Linked DNA regions of Callithrix jacchus. The protein of the gene in region 1 interacts with the protein of each later gene in a pairwise test. Links are inferred from orthologs where the notes say so. Each region holds a gene or a part of one and is shown in the gene's direction. Other genes may lie near its edges. The genes, in order: ZXDC, WDR5, ATXN1 and POGZ.

Region 1 (4,850 bases):
GTGAGGACCCGGGGCTGCATGGTCATCATGAAGACATGATGAGAACACCATTTGTTTGCCCTGGCATGTCTTTAAGCATCGCTAGATAAACATATGTGCTTAGTTAACCCAGGAAGTTTCTGATTACCTTCAGCCATCTTAAATGTTCATGACATAATACCAGGCTTCGGGGTGTACCGTTGGGGGTCTTAGGACAGAACACCCTGCCCAGGCCTGAGGGACAGCTCAGCAACAGGGACTCGCCCCCTCCTCCCCTGGCTGCCCTTTTTTCTCACAGCTGTTGGCCTGTACCCCTGCATCCTTTCCAGGCTTATCTTCCAGGTGCAGTCCTTGCTGGAATGGACTCTTCTGAGAAGGGGTGTCCAAGCTCATCTGCGGCAGGTTCTTCCCCCATTCCCCTGACAGATGTCCTTTTGCTTGCCAAAACACGGGGAGGCTATAGCTATCCAACAGACTTTTACCATGGTGTGTTGCATTGGAGTGCACACAGAAACAGGATATCCTTCCAGAGCACCAAACCCGGGGCCAGGTCCCAATACTGGTTTCAGGGAAGCATCCTGCAGAGTAATACCGACATCAAAACTTTCATGAGGTGGCCTCATCAGCTCCCCCTTCCTGTGCAGAGTTATCTAGGGGTGGATGCTGAGATGTTCTGCTTGACGTACATCGCGGAGGGGCCATGGGGCATGGATGGACATCTCTTGTTGAGAGTCCTCACCTTTGCCAGCCCTCTACTGTTGTCAAAGAATGCATTACTTTTAAGGAAAGAGCCCTATGTTTGTATAAGCATGTGCGGTTCTTTTCAGCTATTGACTTTTTATCCCCAGATGACTTGTTAGCTGGGAAGAAAAATACCTTCTGATGCTAAAACAGTACAAATTAGTGGTGGTGTTTGCAGGACTACTTACGACACTGAATTAAACGTGTGGATTTGAAGAGAGAAACTGCTGTGATTTTTTCATGTTGTATGCTAATACAGAAGTTGAAGCTAATTTAGCTTGTCAAGAGATAGTCTAGTTAGAGTCTGTCTTGTTTCCTGTTGTAAAAGTAATGCCATTAAAATATATTAATAAAGATAGAATCATTTTTGTTACTAACTGGTTTAAGTATAAAGGGAAGGTAATCATGGTGTCTAGCAACATTAGTGGAATTATTTCCAATTTTGCGCACAATTCTGAATTTTCCCATGATTCCAGTGGCACATGCTAGCACACATTTTGCAAAGGAATATTAGGATTCGGTCATATCTCTTGCTTCATAGGTAACGTAGACCATGGCCTACATGTTTGGCATTGAATCATGATAAATGGCTCAGATTTATCTTGATTATGTTACAACTTGATAATAAATATTTGATATACATCATTTAAATCTTGCCTGCTTTTAAAAGTAATCTGGAAAGATACACTATTCGATGCCTTCCTCAGTTTATTCTACAGTAGTTTTCCTAATATTCCTAATGACATGTTTCAGTATTTTTATCTGAATATAAAAATGAAGTCAGGCCTTTTATTAGAAAGCAGGCCTAATGTGACGACTGTTCTGCCTGCAGCACCGGCCCTGCTGCTGGGCTTCGCGGGCAGACAGTTCCCCCTAACTTGAATGAGTTCAGCCTGCAGCTGCAAAGTTGTAATGACACATGAGCATTTGATTTTAAAGAGTCTTTAATTGACAGGAATAGATGCTATGTCTAATTCTAGCAAGAAGTAATATTTAGACACAGATGCATGAACTAACTGGGCAAGAAAACCACCAGTCAGTCCCATTCCTCTTGAAAAGCATTTTCAATATGTTTGCTTTTAATATCATAATTATCTCTCAAAGTTTCTGATTTAGTTTGTTTTGATATATTTTGCATCAATATATATACTTGCAGTTATAACAATTCAAACCAAAAATTTTAATGCCTAGAAGTTAAATAAAATTTGTTTATGTACTTTTTTTTTTTTCCTTGAGATGGAGTTTCACTCGTTACCCAGGCTGGAGTGCAGTGGCGTGATCTCGGCTCACCGCAACCTCTGCCTCCTGGGTTCAGGCAATTCTGCCTCAGCCTCCTTATGTACATATTTTTATATGCTAGGGTGATAAAAGACTTCAAAGCATAAAAGCATTCAGGTAAAATTCTGGAGGTGAGTGGGATAGTATACAAGCTCACGGAGGATATAGGAACACCTCATTTTTTTGCAGTTGGCTTTATTGTGCTTTTTACAAACTGAAGGTTTGTAGCAACCCTGCATCCAGCAAATCTGTTGGTGCCATTTTTCTAGCAGCATGTTCTAACTTCATGTCTCTGTTGGCATTTGTTAGCCATAAAGTATTTTTAAATTAAGGTGTGCATTTTTTTTAGACATAATGCTGCTGCAGACTTAATAGACTGCAGTACTAGGAACTGATGTGAAGTTTCCTCAAGAAGAGGTGAGTTAAGTTTTGTGCCATAGGTGCCTCTTTTCCCCACACCCAGCCCTGTTCTCCTGTCTGAAGCAAATAGAGCAATTTAAAAAAGAGAAACTAGGTGTGGAGAACAGTCAGAGATAATCCAGAGCAAGGGTTGCTGGGTTTTCTGGAGCATAGAACCTGATGGATGAACAGAAAGAAGTATTTTGTAATGGAAGTGCATCTCCCTGCAGCGAGGGGGAACTGAATCTGTGTTCCCCATTCCCTCCTGGTTAGTAGTTGCGCTTCAACGAGAAAGAGCCCTGAGGCACCTGGAAGGGACAGCAGGCTGTGCATGAGTGCAGGGGACCCAAGGTTTGTGCACCCAGTTGGCTTGCCTGCCGAGTGTGAAGCTCTCAGGACCCAGGGCACTGCAGAAGACAGGAAGGGATCTGGAGCAAAGTGAGCGCTTGAGGGAGGCAGCTGTAGTGTATGCAGGGCAAGCAAGCTCTCACCCCTGGTGTTGCTCAGAACCTTCTGGTCAAACAGCCTCATAAAAACAGCCTGCCTTGGATAGCAGTCACCCAATTTAATGTTTTATTAGGAATGACTTGTATGATAGTCATTGTACAGTTGTTTTTTTGAAGCCATTCATAGCTGTGTGTCCAGGCAGGGATGTGTGGACAGAGCAGTGACAGCACCTCTAAGCTCCTTGGCACTCACCAAGAGCCAGGCACTATTCTAAGTTTCAATCACATATTTACTATGAAATCCTCTCCAAAACCTTCCAAGGCTGGGACTAGCATTCCCATTTTACAGGCAGAGGATGCTGAGCCCCAGAGCTTGAGTTCCTTATCCAGATCCCTGGAGCAGAGTGGGTGGCGGGTCAGGGTGAGCCTGGCTCAGGTCTCTGCAGCGCGTACTCTAGGCTACCTCCAGGCCTTCCTGAAGCAGCTTTCCAGTTGTTCTGGGTGTTAAGATTTTTCCTTTTTTCTTTGCACTTTACATCATTTTTTTAAGAAGCATATATTTGTAAAGCCAGTGGAGTAGTGACTTGAGAAGGAGCTGGACAGAGGCAGCAGTCCACTAGCAGGTGGGATGTGGAGACCTCCTGCTTCCTTCCTGTTCTACGATGCTGTGGCTCTGGGCCCTGGGCTGTCCTCAGTTGTGCTCAGGATCTCCTGCTGGCCAGGAGCTGTTGGAGTTAGAGGATAAGGAAGTCTCTGCTTTCCAAGAATGTGCAGCTTAGGTCTGATACCATCTGGCAAAAAAATATGTGTGATGTTTTTACATGTTAAAAATCAAAATCCTGGCGGTTTTTGTTTGTATGGTTTTTTCTTCTAACATCTTGACTCGTGATTTTTCCTGATCAGTGATTTTAAGTCTCTTGGCTATGCAGAATGACAGTTAATGGGGAGGCTGTCTTCCCCATAGTGAGACCTCAGTGAGGGCGGGCCTGACTGGTAGATTATAGATTGGGTGTGCTGGTTTTTATATTTCATTTTAGGAGCCTCACAGTCTACTCAGAGAAAAATAAAAGAAGGCAAAATGAGTCCTCCCCATTTCCACGAAAGCCAGAGCAGTTGGTTGTGTGGGAGCCTCGTGGTGCCCAGTGGAGGACGGCCAGGACCAACTCCAGCAGCTGGGGTGCATTGCGGGGCGCAGGGCATCCAGGTCCAGCTGGTGCAGGTGAGAACTGGCGAGCCACACGGGCCAGCTGCAGGCTGGGTGGGAGGGTCACGCAGGTCTGAGAAGCATGTGGCATGCCGCGTCCCCTGCCCGCCCCAGGGCCTGTCTCCTTACAGTTCAACTCCTCCCGTTTTCCCAGCCTCTCCTGCTGCATCTGCTCAAGCTCTGAGTGTTGCTGGGATTGCGTATCCACTTCTGACCCTGTCTGTGCATGGCCCTGCGTCTAGCCCCAGGGCAGCTCATCTCCCCACCCAAGGCCCCCAGGCCTCGGTATTTTACAGCAGGATGAGATCTGTTTGAGGCCACCCTGCCCTTCTGCAGGGCTGGGGCAAAGGGGCTCCACAGGCCGCCTCAGCCACCCCATCTCTAGGGTGGCCTGCCTGTGGTGCACTAGCAGCCTTTCTATACTTGAAGGTAGTCCAGGTCTTTGCAGTGGTTCTGTTTTCTTTCCTACTAAACTGAGGCCCTCCAGGGCAGGCACATGCCCCTCCCAACATGTCCAGGCCACAGATACCTGCGGCTGTGTCCAGTTTGCAAATCTTTGAGCACACCCGCTTCAGCACCTCTGAGCCCACCTGCATCCTGAGTTTCAGTTTGAGGGGCCAGAATGGGGAGGGAAGGTGATTTGGAAAGATTTGAGGAGAGAAGAGATTTATAAGCTGGGGCTGTCTAGGTTTGGCCCAGGTGTGTGCCCCTCTTCACCACTCCACTCTGTAGTTTTTCTGTGGCAGGGGATGTGGTCACAGGCCCCGCAGAAGTGCGGAGGGCAGAGCTGACGCTAGCTGAGT
Region 2 (5,443 bases), on another chromosome or scaffold:
TATGGTTTCAGAATTTTGTTTTATTTTATTTTATTTTATTTTTTGAGATGGAGTCTTGCTCTTGTTGCCCAAGCTGGAGTTCAGTGGCCTGATACCGACTCACCCAACCTCCGCCTCCCAGGTTCAAGCGATTCTCCTGCCTCAGCCTCCTAAGTAGCTGAGATTACAGGCATGCACCACCATAACCGGCTAATTTTGTATTTTTAGTAGAGACAGGGTTTCTCCATGTTGGTCAGGCTGGTCTCGAACTCCCGTCCTCAGGTGATCTGCCCACTTTGGCCTCCCAAAGTGCTGGGATTACAGGCGTGAGCTATCCTGCCTGGCCGGGTTCAGAATTTTAGCTATGACTGCAGGGTGGATTGCAAAAACGCTGAACAGGGTTAGAGGAGTTTCTCATTTTTACTAGAAGGCTCTATCTCCTGAGGGTGGGGTGGCTGGGAACCTGGTTTGAGTTCTGAGGCTTCTGTGAGCCAGTCCCTTATTTTGCTCTGCCCGGAGGGCTGAAGGACTGGAAATACTTTTGCTTTGGGGCTGGAACCAGGGCTGCAGTTTGGGAGGCGGTGCTAATTTGGAAGAGGAGGCGGGGTCTGGTAAACACTTTAGCAGCATTGGGCAGTGGGAATTAGGGAATTTAGGGCAGGGGGAAGCTGGTTCTGAGTTTTAAACTGGGGAGTTGACGGATGAGAGCTGGAATTTTAGGAGTTTCTCTGTCTGGAGGTTTGGAAAAGAGCCAGGTGGGAGCTAGGGTGGGGAGGGGTGGGGAGAAGTAGATGGATCTGAGATCTGAAGCAGTGTGGGGGAGAACAGCAGGTGATGGGCGGGGATTCTGGCCCAGGCAGCCAGGTGGACGGAATGGAGATGGCCTTCATCCGAGCTTGGTTTGCTAACCTGTGACAGTCACTGTTCCATGCTCCAGGGCACCTGGCCCAAGGGACCAGGCCTTTTGGGCACACAGATCCACACGCAGCCCTGCCGGACCACACAGGAACCTTCCCTTCTGTGTCCTTCCTGGGAAGGGGATTCCAGACCATCTGCCAGTCTTTCGGTTCAGCCTTTCTGACAAGCGCACACCTCACTCTCCCCGGACATTTTTATTTCAAATGCTCTGTCCCTTTGTTTGCACGGGTTCCTGTGTCATATTCTGTGTTCCCATTTTAAATTGGAGAATAAGTGACTGCATGTTATTCTTCCCACAGGCCTAGTTGAGCGGGTAGGGAGGCCGTACCTACCTCCAAGGCTCTAAGAAGTGAAGCAGGAGGCGAGAATGCACAGTAGTCAGGGCTAGACGACCGGGCCTCACCTTCTAGGCCCCGGGGTCCTCCTCTGGGGACCACCCCCTTGTACCCGTAGGTGAAAATACCCGCCCAGGAGGAAAGGGTTGGCCCCAGAGAGCCCTGTGCAAAGTGAGTTTGCGCACTGCGGAGCGGGCGCGGGTGTCTCCAACGCGGCTCTCCCAGTCCGCGGGGCTGGGGAGGAGCAGGTGCGCGCACCGCTGGCTCTGTGCCAGCAGAGGCGGGAAGAGCAGCCGGCCCCGCGGGGAGGCGCAGCCCGGGCTTCCGAGCTCAGTGAACGCGCAGGCTCTGGGGCTTCTAAATGGGCCGGAGTCGTCCTGCCCGCCCAGGGTAGGCGGCCACATGGGGGGCACTGCGCCCGGGCGCGGCCCCAAGTGCTTTCCAAACGCCCACTGCCGCTGTCATCCGTACCGGCGATGATCCAGAAGGGGCCTGGTCGCCCGGGGAGGTGCCCCGGTCCGCCTCGATTCCGGGGACAACGCCAGGCGACGCCACCTGCGCGGGTCCCGGAGGGCCTCTGGTCCCAGTGTGCAGGGCGTACTCAGTCTTGGAAACGCGAGAGCACACTAGCACTTTCCTGTATGTATTATTATACTTCCATTTTTAGGAAGTGCATTAGAAGGGCCTGCGGCAGCTGAATTCGGGATTAAAGCTTTAAAGCGGGAAGCGTGCTCCCGGCGCGGTTCCTTTAAAGCGTTGGGCCTGCCCGAGGCATTCTGGCCGCAGCCGCGGCCCGTAGCGCTTCTCCGAGAGGCGGGCTTTGTGCGCTCGCCCCGCCTTTGGACAACGCCCCCTCCCCTCGCGCACGCGCACTGCGCCCCCGCCGCCTGGCGCCCGCCGGAGCTGCCGCCTTGTCGCGCAGAGTCCGCGCTCCCGCCCAGGAGGCGGCCGACGCGACGTCCCGAGCGCCCGGCCCCGCCGCCGCGGCCCGACAGGTAAGTGGGCAGCCGCCCGGCCCGGGGGGCACGAGGCGGGGAGTGGGACGGCGCCAGAAGCCCTCACATCGTCCCCGGCCGCCGCACGTGTTCCTTGCCGGGCCTCCGGCCAGGCCCAGCCCCCGGCGCTACCCCCACTGCGGCGGCCCCGCCCGGGACCCCCTCACGGGCTCCTCGGTGGACGGCCGCGCGCGCAGGCCCCTGCACCCCGCCCGCCCCCACCGGCGCTCCCACCTCCGATTCCCTGGCGGGCCGCTGACAAGGCCCGAGCGCCGGTACTGGGGCCTCTCCCTCGGCGGCGCGCCCGGCCTCACATCGCTCCTCTTCCTCCATCTCCAGGGAAGGACCAGACCCACGAGCCAGTCAGTCCCCGGACGTGGCGCTTCCCTTCGTAGAAACGCCCCAGCCCGCTCCCGCCGCTCACTCCAACCGGAGGCAGCCAGGCTGCACCTCGCTAGGTGGGGTCCTGGGGTTCGGGTCCTCGCTCCTGAACGGAGGGTCCCCCGCTCCTCCTCGCGCGGGGCCGCAGACCAGTCCTGGCCGGTCTGCGAGAGCCATCTTGAGCGGTTACGTTCCCGGACTAGACGGAGGTTGGGCTGTTACTTCCCGCTAACGACCCTCCCTGCTGTCTCGCAGGCAAGTTTCCAGCTACCCAGGTCTGTTTTCCTATCTCCCAAATGCTTACGCTGTGACCTGGGCAGGTGCGGTGCTAGCCGGTGGGGAAGACAGATGGGTAAGCGAAGGACCCAGGCCGGGAGCCCGTCCAGGACCTGAGATGCGCAGCGCCGGGTTCCCACCGCTGTCGGGCCGGCCACCTGGCTGCTGTTTGGGATGCACATTCATTCCGGTCTGCACGCAGCATGCTCTCTTGGACAGCATGCCGCAGGCCGATTCCTGGGCTCCACCTTGGGGACTGAGGGACTCCGGAATCCGCCAGTGGCATCCAGCCCAGGAGAGCATACTGAGCTTTAGTTGCTGGGCTTCAGGTGGTCAGGCTTACCTGGATGAAAAGCAGCAGCTGCTAGGAGGAGCCAGGCCGCACCTGGGCGGGGGCGGTCAACTCCTCATCACCGTGCATGGAACCTTCTTGGCCCCCACTTTTTCAGCATCAAGTCGCCAACCTTCCTGTTCCCTTAAAGTGATTCTTCACAGAAACTCCTGGGTGTTTATGAAAATGCCAAGCTTTGGGCTGGGTGTGGTGGCTCACACCTGTAATCCAGCACTTGGGGAGGCTGAGGCAGGCAGATTGCTGAGCTCAGGACTTCGAGATCAGCCTGGGCAACATGGCAAAACCCGTCTTTACTAAAAATGCAAAAAATTAGCCGGGTATGGTGGTGCTCGCCTGTAATCCCAGCTTCTCTGGAGGCTGAGCATGAAAATCGCTTGAACTCCGGAGGCGGAGGTTGTAATGAGCCAAGATCTTGCCACTGCACTCCAGCCTCGACCCAAAAAAAAAAAAAAAAAAGAAAATTTCAAGCCTAGACCCCACCACTGAGGTAGAAATTGGTGGGTGTGTAGTGTCAAGAAACTCTATTCTTAAAAGGCATGTTAAAGTTAAGGGTTTTTTTTGTTTCTTTGTTTCTTTTACTTGTTAATGTTTTTAGAGCCCAAAGGGTGGGGTGGGTGGGCCTGAGCTGGGAGGGGTTGAGCTCCTTTTGTAAGACCGCCAGTCTGCTGCGCCTTGCCTGAGGGTGTTTCAGGCATCTGGACTCACCTAGGTGAGTAGACAGCTGACTGGAGCTGCTCGGCCCTCTGAGCTGCCGGTTCTGCCTTCTGTTCCTCTGGTGTTTCACTTGGGTAGGGAACGGCCACACTTCACTCAGCTCTTGCCCTGACTTGGCTGTCTCCGGCTAGGACCTTTGCAGTGGACTTTGCAGCTTTTTGCTTGGATTTCCGTAGCTCCTCCCTCTCCTTGTACTTGTCCAGCGTGCCAGGGAGAAGGCAGCAGTTGGGTTAAATTGCCATGGCCAGGTTGCACTTATGACAAGCACCATGTAGCCGGCATTTACCGAGGACTGGCTTTGTACTGGCACTTTGTACTCTGGGCAGCTCTACAGGGCCTGCCCCTCCCCTTCCCCACTCGTGTGTGTGTGTGTGTGTGTGTGTGTGTGTGTGTGTATGTGTGTGTGTGAGAGTGTGTGATGCTCAGGCTTTAGATGCATCGTGATCCATCCTTTCGAAGGGAATCTTTGCTGCAGGCGAAATGGATCTGTGGCCACACCTGTTTTCTGGAAAGTGGGTGTTGTAGTTTCTCTGCCTTCCTCTTGCATCAAGACTTTGAGACTCTTTTTGATGCCTTCCGTTTCACCTTAATGTTACAAGCAGCCTTGCAAGATTTCGGTTTCAAGCTGCAAACTAGAACGTACAGTGTGTAAACTCGTTAGATGGATGGTGGTGCTAGCTTCCAGAATTCTGATGGCCAGTGGTATTTGCAAGCATGTCTCAGTGGCTTGCTTTTTTAGTGATGCTGTGCCTCCTTTCAGAATAACCTGTTGTGCTTTTATGAGACGTATTCAAGTAATGGATCTATTCTCGAGATGGAGGAAACTAGCTGCTTACTAGAGAGATTTTGGGTAAATTTTATTGTCAAGCTGAAACAGTCTTTTTTCATTCCCTTGCATGTTGGTCTTGCTCGTAGAATATCCCTGGTGTACTTGAGGCTGCTTTTCCAGAAGGCAGGTTGTGGGAATTCCAGCAGGCAGAGCTGGCTCTGGCTCGCTCTGCTCTCTTTGCTGAGTTTTGTAGCTCCTCACTGGGGGCGAGGCCTGTGAGCTGTTAGCATTCTGGAAGGCAGCTTGGTGCCTGCAGCCTGTGCATGGAGGCACCGGAGCCCACCCTTGAGGCGCAGACCGCTGGGTGCCTTCAAGCTTGGCTGTGAATGTGATTGCATCAGTGGGTGCATTTTAGGATTTGGCTGTGCTCCCAAACTTCTGCACCCTGAAGCCATCTTCTGTCATTTGGCATGTTAGCTTACTGTCAGGAAACCTTTTGCTGTTCTTTTTATAATATGTACAGGGCTTTATTTTATTTTTTTTTTTTGAGACAGTTCACTCTTATTGCCCAGGCTGGAGTGCAATGGCGCGATCTCAGCCCACCGCACCTCCACCTCCCGGTTCAAGTAATTCTCCTATCTCAGCCTCCTGGGATTACAGGCACGTGCCACCACATCTGGCTAATTTTTTTTTTTTGTATTTTTACTAGAGTCGGGGTTTCACC
Region 3 (5,546 bases), on another chromosome or scaffold:
GACAAAACAAAACCTATCAGAGCCTTTTCAGGAAACTGATGTTAACTGTCCACTAGAGGCTGTAAGGAGACCAACAATGTCACTTTAGACTAACCCGAGGTTTCAAACTGTAACAATCATCGATTTTTAAATGGGGGGGGGAGTTGTAGAAATGAGTAAGAGTGAACAGTAGTAGTTACATTTAAATAGCCACTTACATGTGCACGGCATATCAAAAATGTGAGAAAAAATATTTCCGGGGCTCTGCACTTTCCTCGCTCGTACGTTTATTATTTCAGGAGCACGTAGGCTCTTGCAGGCCAGAGTTGTGTAAAACCTGACACATGTTTTGATCATTCTCTGCCCTGCCTCAGTGGGTGACTAACCGTTAGGTCATAAGTAAACTCAGCCAAAAGGTCTCTCAAATACAGCTTACAGTCAAGAGCGGTGGCTTTCAGAAAGAAACTTACGCGAAGGGGTCATGTTTCCAGACACCTAGTTCTAAGCACCTGAAGGAGGTCAAATGTTGCCCGACACCTACTGGCCTTCCAGAATCATCTGCAGCAAAAACGCCACGCTGAGCGCCCGTAGTCTGGAGGCACCTCCCAGTCCTCCAGGTGCCACACCTGTTGGCAATGTTAGCCCAGCCGACGAAGATTCCTTCGCGTGGAGGTCACACCTGGCGGCGGGACAGGCGGAGGGGCGGGCGGGGTGGTGGGAGTCGCGGACCGCACTAAAACACAGAGTCCAGACTCAAGTTCTTCATCGATTCCCGAGAGCTGCCATTTGATGCTCCGGTGGCTTTCTCTGTCTCTTACACTGGTTACCTCATTTCCGATTAAATTAATGATCCCAAATTAGCTGCGAGAGGAGTGCGCGGGTCTCCTTTCCAGGCTAGAGCGGAGTAAGTAGCTCCAGATCGAAGCCGATTTCCGGACCTGCGGAGAGAGCGAGGGCACGGCCGGGCGTTCTCAGGCAGCGAAGGTGAGGGCGCCTGTGCAGTCGGGGGGCCCGGGAAACTTTGCGGAGTTGCACGCAGAGGCAATCCCCGAGGCCCCCGGGCCTGGGTTCCCGAACGCCGCAGCGACGCCGGTTTGCGGGTTAAATAACGTGCAGCTGATGATCGGAGGGAGCCCTTTTAGACGCGGCTCGGGGCGCCGGGGACCCAGGGCACGTTGGGATTAGAACCCGCCGACCTCCCCTCCCCCCTGGGGTGTTTCATTGGCTGCCAGCTGAAGCCTGACACCCCTTGGGGGAGTCCCCCAGGTTGCCTGAGCAGCGCCCCGCGGTCGCTCGGTCCCCTCCAACTAGGTGCAGGGACCCAGGGAGGCGCTCGAGGACCGACCGGTCACCGCTCCAATTACCTCATCGCGCAGCTCCCCGCCCCCTTCCCAAACCTGGAAGGAACCTTGCCCTCCACCCCGCTCCTCCCCTCCCCCGCGGCCCGTCCCGAGCCACTCTTGGGGAAAGGTGCCCGCCTCCCCGGGCCGCGCGCCGCGAAGGGTTAAGGGCGCGGGCCAGCCGCCGCGCGGTGCGCTCAGGGCTCGGTGCTGCTCGCCGGGCCGCCCGCCAGAGGGTGCCCCCCACCCCCATGAAGTCGGATCCTTGAGCTGCGGCGGCGGCAGCCAACTGCTCCATATTTGGCTTCTATTACACATTTACATACTGGAGCGAGCGAGCGAGCGAGCGAGCGCGAGAGAGCGCGAGGGAGGGAGGGCGGAGGGAGGAGGGAGGGGAGGGAAGCGGGAGGAGGGGGAGGAGGAGGAGGAGGAGGAGGAGGAGGAGGAGAGAGCAGAGTATACCGCAGACATCATTTCTACTACAGTGGCGGAGCCGTACAGGACCTGTTTCACTGCAGGGGGATCCAAAACAAGCCCCGGGGAGCAGCAGCCAGAGCAAGAGCAGCCGCCAGACATTGTTTCTCTCCCTCTGCCCCCCTTCCCCACGCAACCCCAGATCCATTTACACTTTACAGTAAGTGGCTATTTTTTTTCCTCCTCTGATTCTTTTCCCCCCTCCCCCATCCCCTTCTCCCCTTATTTAGATTAAAATCCCTCCTCTCCCTATCTCCCGAGAGGGGCAAAAGCAACAACCAGCAAACAAACCCTAAAACCCCAATCGGCTGCACGGAAAACAGCTGGAAGAGGAGCGAAGGGAATCGACGCGTCGTGTTGTGTGTGTGTGTGCGTGCGTGTGTGTGTACATACAACCGTCCCCGGTTCCAGGCTCCCAGGCCGACACCCCCACTCTGGGCGCAGGGGCGGCCGTTCGGGGGGGCTGTCAGGGGCCGGGTGGGCGCCCGCCGGGCTAGGGGGCGCGCCCGGGCGGGGGGCGCGGGCAGGGAGAGCGGCGGCGGCGCCCCGCTCTGGAGACTGCTGGTCCGGTCGCGAGTGCCGAGAGCCATGTCCTCCTCCCTCCGGGTGGCGCAGGGGGAGGCGGCGGCGGCCGGGGTGGGGGGCTGGTCCCTTTCCCGGCCGCCCTCTTCCCATTCCTCCTCTCCGGAGAGGGCGGTGAGAGAGGGGGGGTCTCGGGGAGGGCTGCACTTCCCCGCGGGTGGACGCCCGGCCTCGGCGCCCCTGGGCGAGGGTCTTCCCTCCGTGGCCGGCCTCGCCGGCTGTACGGCTGTGGGCTGGGAAGGGACTGCTCCAGCCAAGGGGCCGGGACTTTGCGCTCGGCCGGGTGCCAGGCGGGGGGCGCGGAGGGGTGGCCTCGGGGACCCCGCGGGGGTAGCGGGTGTGCGGGTGCCTGGAGCGCGGCTGGAGTGGCGGTGGCGGCCCTGGCTGCCGCCGCCACCGCCGCCCTGTTGGTGCGGCCGCTTCCTGATCCTGTGCAGCGGCCGCCGCCGCCCGGAGCCGCGAGCCCGCGAGCGCCCCAGTCCGGGCCGGCGCCCCTGCCAGCGCCCGCGGCAGGAACCGAGGAGCCGCGGCAGGCGCTGCCCGGAGCCGGGAGTGAACGGCTGCGCGGCTGCTGGGAGGGTGAATGAAGCCAGGAGGAGGGGAAGGAGGAGGAGGCGGCGGCGGAGGAGGAGGAGGAGGCGCTGCGGGGATTGGGATGCGCCCTGGAGCCCCGCTGCTCGTTCACTCTGGGCCGGGCCGAAGACTCTGCCACTCCCGGGGCCGGGGCCGCCGCCGCCGCCGCCTCCTACGTGGTTCCAGCGCTGCGCTCAGGCCGGTCCCGCAGGGGGCAGGGAAGGGGGCCGGACGGGCGGAGCGAGAGGTGAGGCGGTGTCGGAGCGCGGCGTGTGAGTGAGTGTGTGAGTGAGTGTGAATGTGTATATGTGTGTGTGCGTGCGCGCCGGGCGGGGGGCGAGGGCTGTCGTGATGCGGAGGGGGCCCCTCCTCGGCCACTTGGCTGACTCTGCATCGCCCGACCCCTTCTCAGCCCCCCGCCTTCAGGCTGCCTTCTTGAACTCCGAGGCTGTGCTTTCATTTTATTTCAAACCACGTAGGGGGCTGACTGGAAGCGGTGAAACAATTCAGGTTTTCTAGGGAGATTGAGCAAGAACCTTAGCGGGGGGTGGAAGTAGGGTGGTGATCCAGACTCTGCCAGAAAACAAAACAAAACAAAAAGATCAGTTTCTAAGGACGGCAGGGGTTCGGTTCGAGCCGGTGGCTGGTCTGTTTTGTTTTGCTTTCTTGGTATTATCCTACAGATAAAAAGGTAATGTAAATACTTGAGAAGATTGGGAAATTGCTGAAGAGTAGTAAGGGCAAAAAAAAAAAAAAAAAAAAAAAAAAAAAAAAGCCAGTCGGAAGAAGCTGGTTATATAATGCGCGATGTGGCTAACAAGAAAGGCAAGCTATTTTTATTTTGTTTACCGTATGCTGTGCAGTAGGGACTCCTCCAAACTGGTTCTGTCCCCGAAGAGATTCTGAGCTTCCCTGTGAGATCCACAGGATACAATTAGCAAAATTAGAAGACCCTATTACACCCACAGAATAAAAACTGGTGCCTTACAGTGGCTTTCTGCCTGCACATTCGTGCATGCACAGGAATGTGTGTATGCAAATAAGTTCTCCTTTGGCAATCTAGTAGTGCACATCTCAATGACATTTGCGTTTTATAATGCAGGCTGTTTTTAATATTTAAACATTGTCGTTATATATTGCACACAGCAGTGGGTAGTTACTTGGTGGTTATTTTTAGGCATAGCTACTTTTTCAACAGTGTTAGCTAAGACATTTCCGTTTGGGTTTTTTAGGAGGCTGCAGTTCCTAGAAGCCCCCGTTAAGCCCACCCTTCGGTTTATTTGGTGGGTAAAGGTAGTTTGATACTTAGGCTTTTTTTTTTTTTTTGGAATGAAGCTTATGCCTGAGGAAACCACCAGAGAGAAGAGAAAATCCTGCACAGGAACTCTTGGAAAGGGATTGCACCATAACGGCTAATGCTGTGGCACTTAATCTCCTCTGATTGCCCTCTCGCTGTGCATGCATCAGTCAATATTTTAGCAGCTCTGCAAATAAATGGACTTGAATGCCATCTTCTACATAAAGCAGAGGTTGAAGGGCTCCCTTGAACCTCCTGGCTGGCTGTCAGTGGTGTAGGTTTTCAGTGCACTTACTCCAGCCCTGATCACTCATGTAATTAGATCAGGCTGCCATGGCAACAGACAGTGTTCCTCGTCCATTCAGGTGGGTTTGTCTTGTGCCTGAACTACTCCAAATGTTTTATGCACAGCATTTATGCTGCCCAAGCTAGACGAAAGACTCCACTATTTCAATTGCATCTTCTTTCAGTCATTTGGATGGGAGACACTGAAGGAGGCTTCTAGCTACTCAACTTTTATAAAGGAGACCAACAAGCTGTTCTTCCTAGGTGCAGTATGTAAATGCGTCTCCCCATACAGTGAAAGGAGCCTGACAATCCTGCTGGTGTTTATTGTGAGCAGATCAACAAGTATTTGGTACTTGTTAGAAACCTTTCAGAGCTTACTAAAGCAACATTTCTTTTGCAGTCTGGTGCCTTTGGCCATGCAGGCACTTAACCCTTTCAAGTGTGAAGAGCGTTCATCCTTTGGAACCTATATTGCCCATAGCAATGGCTGGATTTCTAAAGGATTTACTCAGAGGAATAACTTATTCGGAAAATATATTCTCATTGTCACATTTTTAAACTTGACAGCCATCATAACAAAAACTGGTACTGACAGTAGGCAGACATTCTGAATGTATTCATTCTTAATTTGGATCTATTGGGTGTGATTTGAATGATCTTTGATAGTAAGTTAAAAGGATTTTTTTTTTCTTAGCTAAGCCAGAAATGATAGAGGCCTATAGCTAGAGGACAGATAATGCATGGTGCTTTTGCACAATAAGCATGTACTTTATTTTAGGATGTAATTTAGAGAACAGTTAGAAAGCAGTATTCTAGTCTGCATAAGGGCACCACTGCATGAAGGCTGCTAAGCAAAGAGAAATCACACTATGGCAAAAAGGGAAAAGGAAAAGTTTCTTTAGTTGCTGAAGCTCTGTGCTGCTCAGGTAATCCAAGTAGGCAGGCGGGAGGAGAGGGGGAGAGAGGAGCATTTTAATAACCTGGCATTTGAAAGGAAAGATAATTGAGAATAT
Region 4 (4,850 bases), on another chromosome or scaffold:
GACAGCGCAGAACTCCATCTGGAAATAAAAAAAAGAAGGAAAAAAAAATCAATCAAAATAACTTAGAGGGAGAAACTTAGTTGCATACTTCCTTGATTTGTTGTTCTTAAATTCATAATGTGCTCGGTGCTATATGATGTCTGAAGAGCAGAAGAAAACTCATGGAATTCATTTTCAATGAGGTGGGTTGTTTTGTTTCATTTGTTTGTTTGTTTGTTTGTTGGGTTTGCTTTGCTTTGTTTGAGATAGGGTCTCACTCTCTTACCCAGGCAGGAGTGTAGTAGTGGCACGAACATGGCTGGCTCACTGTATCCTCCACCTCCCAAGCTCAAACGATCCTCCCGCCTCAGGCCCCCAAGTAGCTGGAACTACAGGCACACATCACCACACCTGGCTGTTTTTTGTTTTTTATTTTGAGTCTTTCTCACACTGCTGCCCAGGCTGGAGTGCAGTAGCAGGATCTTGGCTCACTGCAGCCTCCGCTGCCTGGATTTGAATGATTGTTGTGCCTCAGTCACCCAAATAGCTGGGGTTACAGGCATGTGCCACCATGCCCAGCTAACTTTTGTATTTTTAGTGGAGGTGAGCTTTCACCATGTTGGCCAGGCTGGTTTCAACCTCAAGTGATCCGCCTGCCTCAGCCTCCCAAAGTGCTGATATTATAGACGTGAGCCTTGTTTTGTTTTTGTGTTGGGGTCTCACTGTGTTGCCCAGGTTGGACTCAAACTCCTGGGCCCAAGTGATCCTCCTGCTTCAGCCTCTTGAATAGCTGGGACTACTGGTGCCTACCACTGCTCCAGGCTGGATAATCCTTTTAAAGGCTTTTTTTTAAAGTACCAGAATTCTAATTGCCTTTTCATCCTCTGGAAAGAGAACCTTGTAAGACACTTGAATTGTCAGAATTCCTTTGAGCTAAGGTTTAAAAGATTGCAGAAATTATTTAAAATGCTTCTAAATAAGCAGGTATAATTTACCCAGTGTGACTTTCCATAGTCTGGCTTTTGCTTTCCATTGAATCGTGAATCTAATCTGGTCTTTGAAAACCACTATTTTCTTTGTCCCATATTTTTGGAAAAATTCTAACATTCCACCAGAATTTAGACTTGACCCTGATATAAGGGAAAATATTTGGAGAAAATGCTGTTAACATTTTTTATAATGGTATTTATGGGTTTCATGGAAACCTGGTCTGTCTGTAAGAGACTTGGGAATGCTGATTGATTTCACATAAATGCAAAAAACCTCCATCTTTCCCTTCTTGTATTTAATTGGGATGTTGAGCCAGGAATTATCTTTTTTTTTTTTATCTTCCCAAACTGGATATGATAGCCGGGAATTATCTAAATGTTTTTTAGGATTAGGATAAACGAGATAATTTATTTTCTTTTGTCCTAGCAGTTAAAACAATGACTAGAAAATCCAGACTTCTGCTTAGTCAATGTTTTTCAACTATAAATTTCAAAAGGATAGAAAGAGATGGTTGGGGAACCTGTGGATTAAAAGACTTGAGTGTTGTTCATCCATTGCACTTTGCCAACATTTTGTAACTGGATTCAGACAAACGCTTTAAAAAATGCAAATAAGTAAATTTGAATTTTGACTGGGTATTTGATATTAAATGTTCGGGAGTTATGTTGGTATGATTCTTTATCTTTTTTTGAAATCCTTATGTAGGAGGTACATTTTGAAATATTTGTAGATGATATGATCTAGAACTCGTTTTAAAGTAATATGGGAACTAGTACATGTATAGGAGGTATAGATGAACTAAGACTTGCCGTGCGTTAATAATTAACGAAGCAGGGTGGTGTATAGGGAGGGGTTCACCGTAGTGTTCTGTTTCTTTGTATGTTTTAACTTCTCCATAATAAAGCATTTAAAAGATTTTAAAAACCCACCATCAATACATTGCCAGTATAATTTAACATGGATAGAACTTGCTGGAATTCTCTGTTTTATTTGTCTAGCTGCCTCTACAATCACTAGTCTTCTGGCTCAGTAACTGAGGGTCTAGTCTACTGATGAGCTCTCAGTTTCTGAGAGAGTGTGAGATGAGCCACTGCTGGCCCATTAGTAGCCACCTACATACCTATTCCTTTGGTGGTGTAGCTTTGTAGTTAACTGTGGTGATGGACCTGCCAAGTGGAATGTACATTTCAGAGGGGCCTGTCCTATTCTGGTGATTTTGGGTAAAAAGTTGAGACAATATTTTGCTTAACTCTTTGGTTTTTTGTTTTTTGAGACAGAGTCTTGCTCTGTTTCCCGGGCTGGAGTGCAGTGGCACAATCTTGGCTCACTGCAACCTCCACCTCCCTGGTTCAAGCAATTCTGCCTCAACTTCCCAAGTAGCTGGAATTACAGGTATGCACCATCATGCTCAGCTAATTTTTGTATTTTTAGCAGAGACGGGGTTTTGTCATGTTGGCCAGGCTGGTCTTGAACTCCTGGCCCCAAGTGATTCACCTGCCTCACTCTCCCAAATGCTGGGATTACAGGTGTGAGCCACTGTGCCTAGCCTGCTTGACTCTTTCGCCTAGGTATATTGGCTCTCTGAAATTCTCTATCTGGTTTTGAGTATTCTTTGTATATCAGGAAACTTAGTGTTGATTTTTGTTTTCACCAAATGTCATGAAATAGGGGACTTAAAAATATTTATGAAATTATTTTCTCACAAATGAAGAGTTGAAGATATTTCAGTAATAGCCCTGTTTATTCATATTTTTATTCATGAATGAATGATTATCTTCTGAAATCATGTCATTTTTACTTGGTGTGGGTTAGTTTTTGTCTGGGTCTTCTGTTTATCAGCCCTGATGACATGCAGAGAAAGGTGGTAGGTAGCCTGTCAGTCTCTGGGTCCCCTTCTAAAAGACAGTGGTTGCTTAAAGAATCTTGCATTTCTCAGATTTAACTTACTAGGAAGAGAAACCATTCTTCAGATTCTGTGTACTTGCTGAATTAATGTTTGTTGATGAATATTGTTTTTAAAGAATTAAGGGGGATTAGCTAACAAATTATATTCTAATAAAATAGGTTTTACCTAGTTAAAATATGGAAAAAGACTTAACATATTTTGTTCTGTGCTGATTTGGTGGGGGAGATTATGTGTGGTCACCTTAAATCATGAGAGTCAAGGTGATAGTCACATAGAATTCTAATGTGTCTTTCATCCCCAGTTAAGACATATGGGTGAAATGTTAGTGAACCTCCCCTACCCATCTGTTTTTCTGTTAGTTGTAGATTTGGGTGAAGCTTAAATTTTTGGCGAGTTTGGTCACATTAAACATGGTGAGTGTCAGTCTTGGATATTTTGGCGTCTGGGACATCATTTCTGTTTCTTACAAAATGTGGATTTGTACTTGGGAGGCTGAGGTGGAAATATGGCTCAAGCCCAGGAAGTTGAGGCTGCAGGGACCCATGACTGTGCCACTGCACTCCAGCCTGGGTGACAGAGCGATATCCTGTCTCAAATAAATAAAATAAAATGTAGGTTTAACATTCATTGTTTTTAACGTTCCTTTTTTTTCCCCCCGCTTAACCTTTTAGCTGGCAACCCTCTGGTCCAGCAAGGTGGACAGCCGCTCATCCTGACCCAGAATCCAGCCCCAGGTCTGGGCACAATGGTTACTCAACCAGTATTGAGACCTGTTCAGGTCATGCAGAATGCCAATCATGTGACTAGTTCCCCTGTGGCTTCACAACCAATATTTATCACTACGCAGGTGAGTAGGACTCTGAATTTCAAGGTTTCTAGAGGAGAGAAAGAATATGAACCTCTGAAAGCTCTGACTTAGGGTCTTTAGCACCATTAGTAGTAGTTCTAAGTCTTGTCTTTTGACCTTACTTTCTCATTTACCGTTCTGTAATTTGATGCTGACTGTGGAATGCCTGGTATAGCATGGTTGGGTAATATCCTCTTTAAACCCCTTAGAAGTTTATTAAGAAATTTGATTAAAGTCTAGGCAGAAATTAGTGGGAAAGCTTGGATTAGGAAGCCTTAACCCTTGGCTCTCGAGACTTTTCACCCTTTGCATGGACTGCTCCACTTCACATGGGATGAATTAGTTAACTTTTGGAGATGTATATATGTCATTGGTGGAGTTCATGGAGACCTTTGGAAGACAGGGAAGATGACTTATTTGATATATAATGTATCGAATTGAAGTTCAAAGTCTAATTTTGAATATGGATTCTAAAGGCAAATGCATTTCTTTGCCTGTGTCTTCCTGAGTTATAAATGCTTTTGAATTTGCCAAAGGTTTATGGTCTTCGAAGCAGACTTTGGGAACAATATCTTAGGATTGTTTGTATGTTGACTCACTCCAGTGAACACTGTTCTTCTCCCCCCAACACCCCGCACCCCACCCTCCCCCTTGTATTCATTTAGCACTTTAGGGAGCCAGTCTGTTGATGAGGTTTTTTTTAAACCTGATGCTCTCTTAAGTCAGGAAATAGGTTTTCATTTTTGCTCATGTGTACCAAAGCTTGTTCTCTAGTTTTGATACTTTGTCACTCAAAAGTTTGCCAAAATTTCCTAAATTTTTTCATCTCAGTCATTTGAAAACTCTAATTCTAGAGAGAACCATTAAGAGTATGGGCATTTTTTTGGATGTAGGTCATACTGCAATCTGTTAGTGTTAGTTGGTCTCCATGTTAAAGATCATTTTGCTTTTTAATACAGGGATTTCCTGTAAGGAATGTCCGGCCTGTACAAAATGCAATGAATCAGGTTGGGATTGTGCTGAACGTACAGCAAGGCCAAACGGTTAGACCAATTACACTAGTCCCAGGTAAGGAAAAATGTCTATCCATTGGAATAAACCGGCATCCAGAAGATTTGTTTTTATTGT

What was found.
Region 2: the proteins of ZXDC (region 1) and WDR5 interact in binary tests that used the Homo sapiens proteins (3 or more experiments, as listed by UniProt). The link is inferred for Callithrix jacchus from reciprocal best matches to the Homo sapiens genes ZXDC and WDR5.
Region 3: the proteins of ZXDC (region 1) and ATXN1 interact in binary tests that used the Homo sapiens proteins (3 or more experiments, as listed by UniProt). The link is inferred for Callithrix jacchus from reciprocal best matches to the Homo sapiens genes ZXDC and ATXN1.
Region 4: the proteins of ZXDC (region 1) and POGZ interact in binary tests that used the Homo sapiens proteins (3 or more experiments, as listed by UniProt). The link is inferred for Callithrix jacchus from reciprocal best matches to the Homo sapiens genes ZXDC and POGZ.

What each region holds. Positions count from the first base shown.
Region 1 is NC_133516.1:76,883,190-76,888,039, forward strand, and holds part of ZXDC (zinc finger protein ZXDC), read left to right. Parts: intron 1-3,880; coding exon 3,881-4,062; intron 4,063-4,850. UniProt on the Homo sapiens protein: Cooperates with CIITA to promote transcription of MHC class I and MHC class II genes.
Region 2 is NC_133502.1:182,701,851-182,707,293, forward strand, and holds the start of WDR5 (WD repeat-containing protein 5), read left to right. Parts: upstream 1-2,101; 5' UTR 2,102-2,227; intron 2,228-2,566; 5' UTR 2,567-2,685; exon of another isoform or gene 2,686-2,883; intron 2,884-5,443.
Region 3 is NC_133505.1:13,913,266-13,918,811, forward strand, and holds the start of ATXN1 (ataxin-1), read left to right. Parts: upstream 1-1,772; 5' UTR 1,773-1,953; intron 1,954-2,381; coding exon of another isoform or gene 2,382-3,195; intron 3,196-5,546. Other genes in the region: uncharacterized protein LOC128931873, read left to right, coding at 2,382-3,195. UniProt on the Homo sapiens protein: Chromatin-binding factor that repress Notch signaling in the absence of Notch intracellular domain by acting as a CBF1 corepressor. Binds to the HEY promoter and might assist, along with NCOR2, RBPJ-mediated repression. Binds RNA in vitro.
Region 4 is NC_133519.1:11,336,138-11,340,987, reverse strand, and holds part of POGZ (pogo transposable element with ZNF domain), read left to right. Parts: intron 1-3,546; coding exon 3,547-3,722; intron 3,723-4,681; coding exon 4,682-4,790; intron 4,791-4,850. UniProt on the Homo sapiens protein: Plays a role in mitotic cell cycle progression and is involved in kinetochore assembly and mitotic sister chromatid cohesion.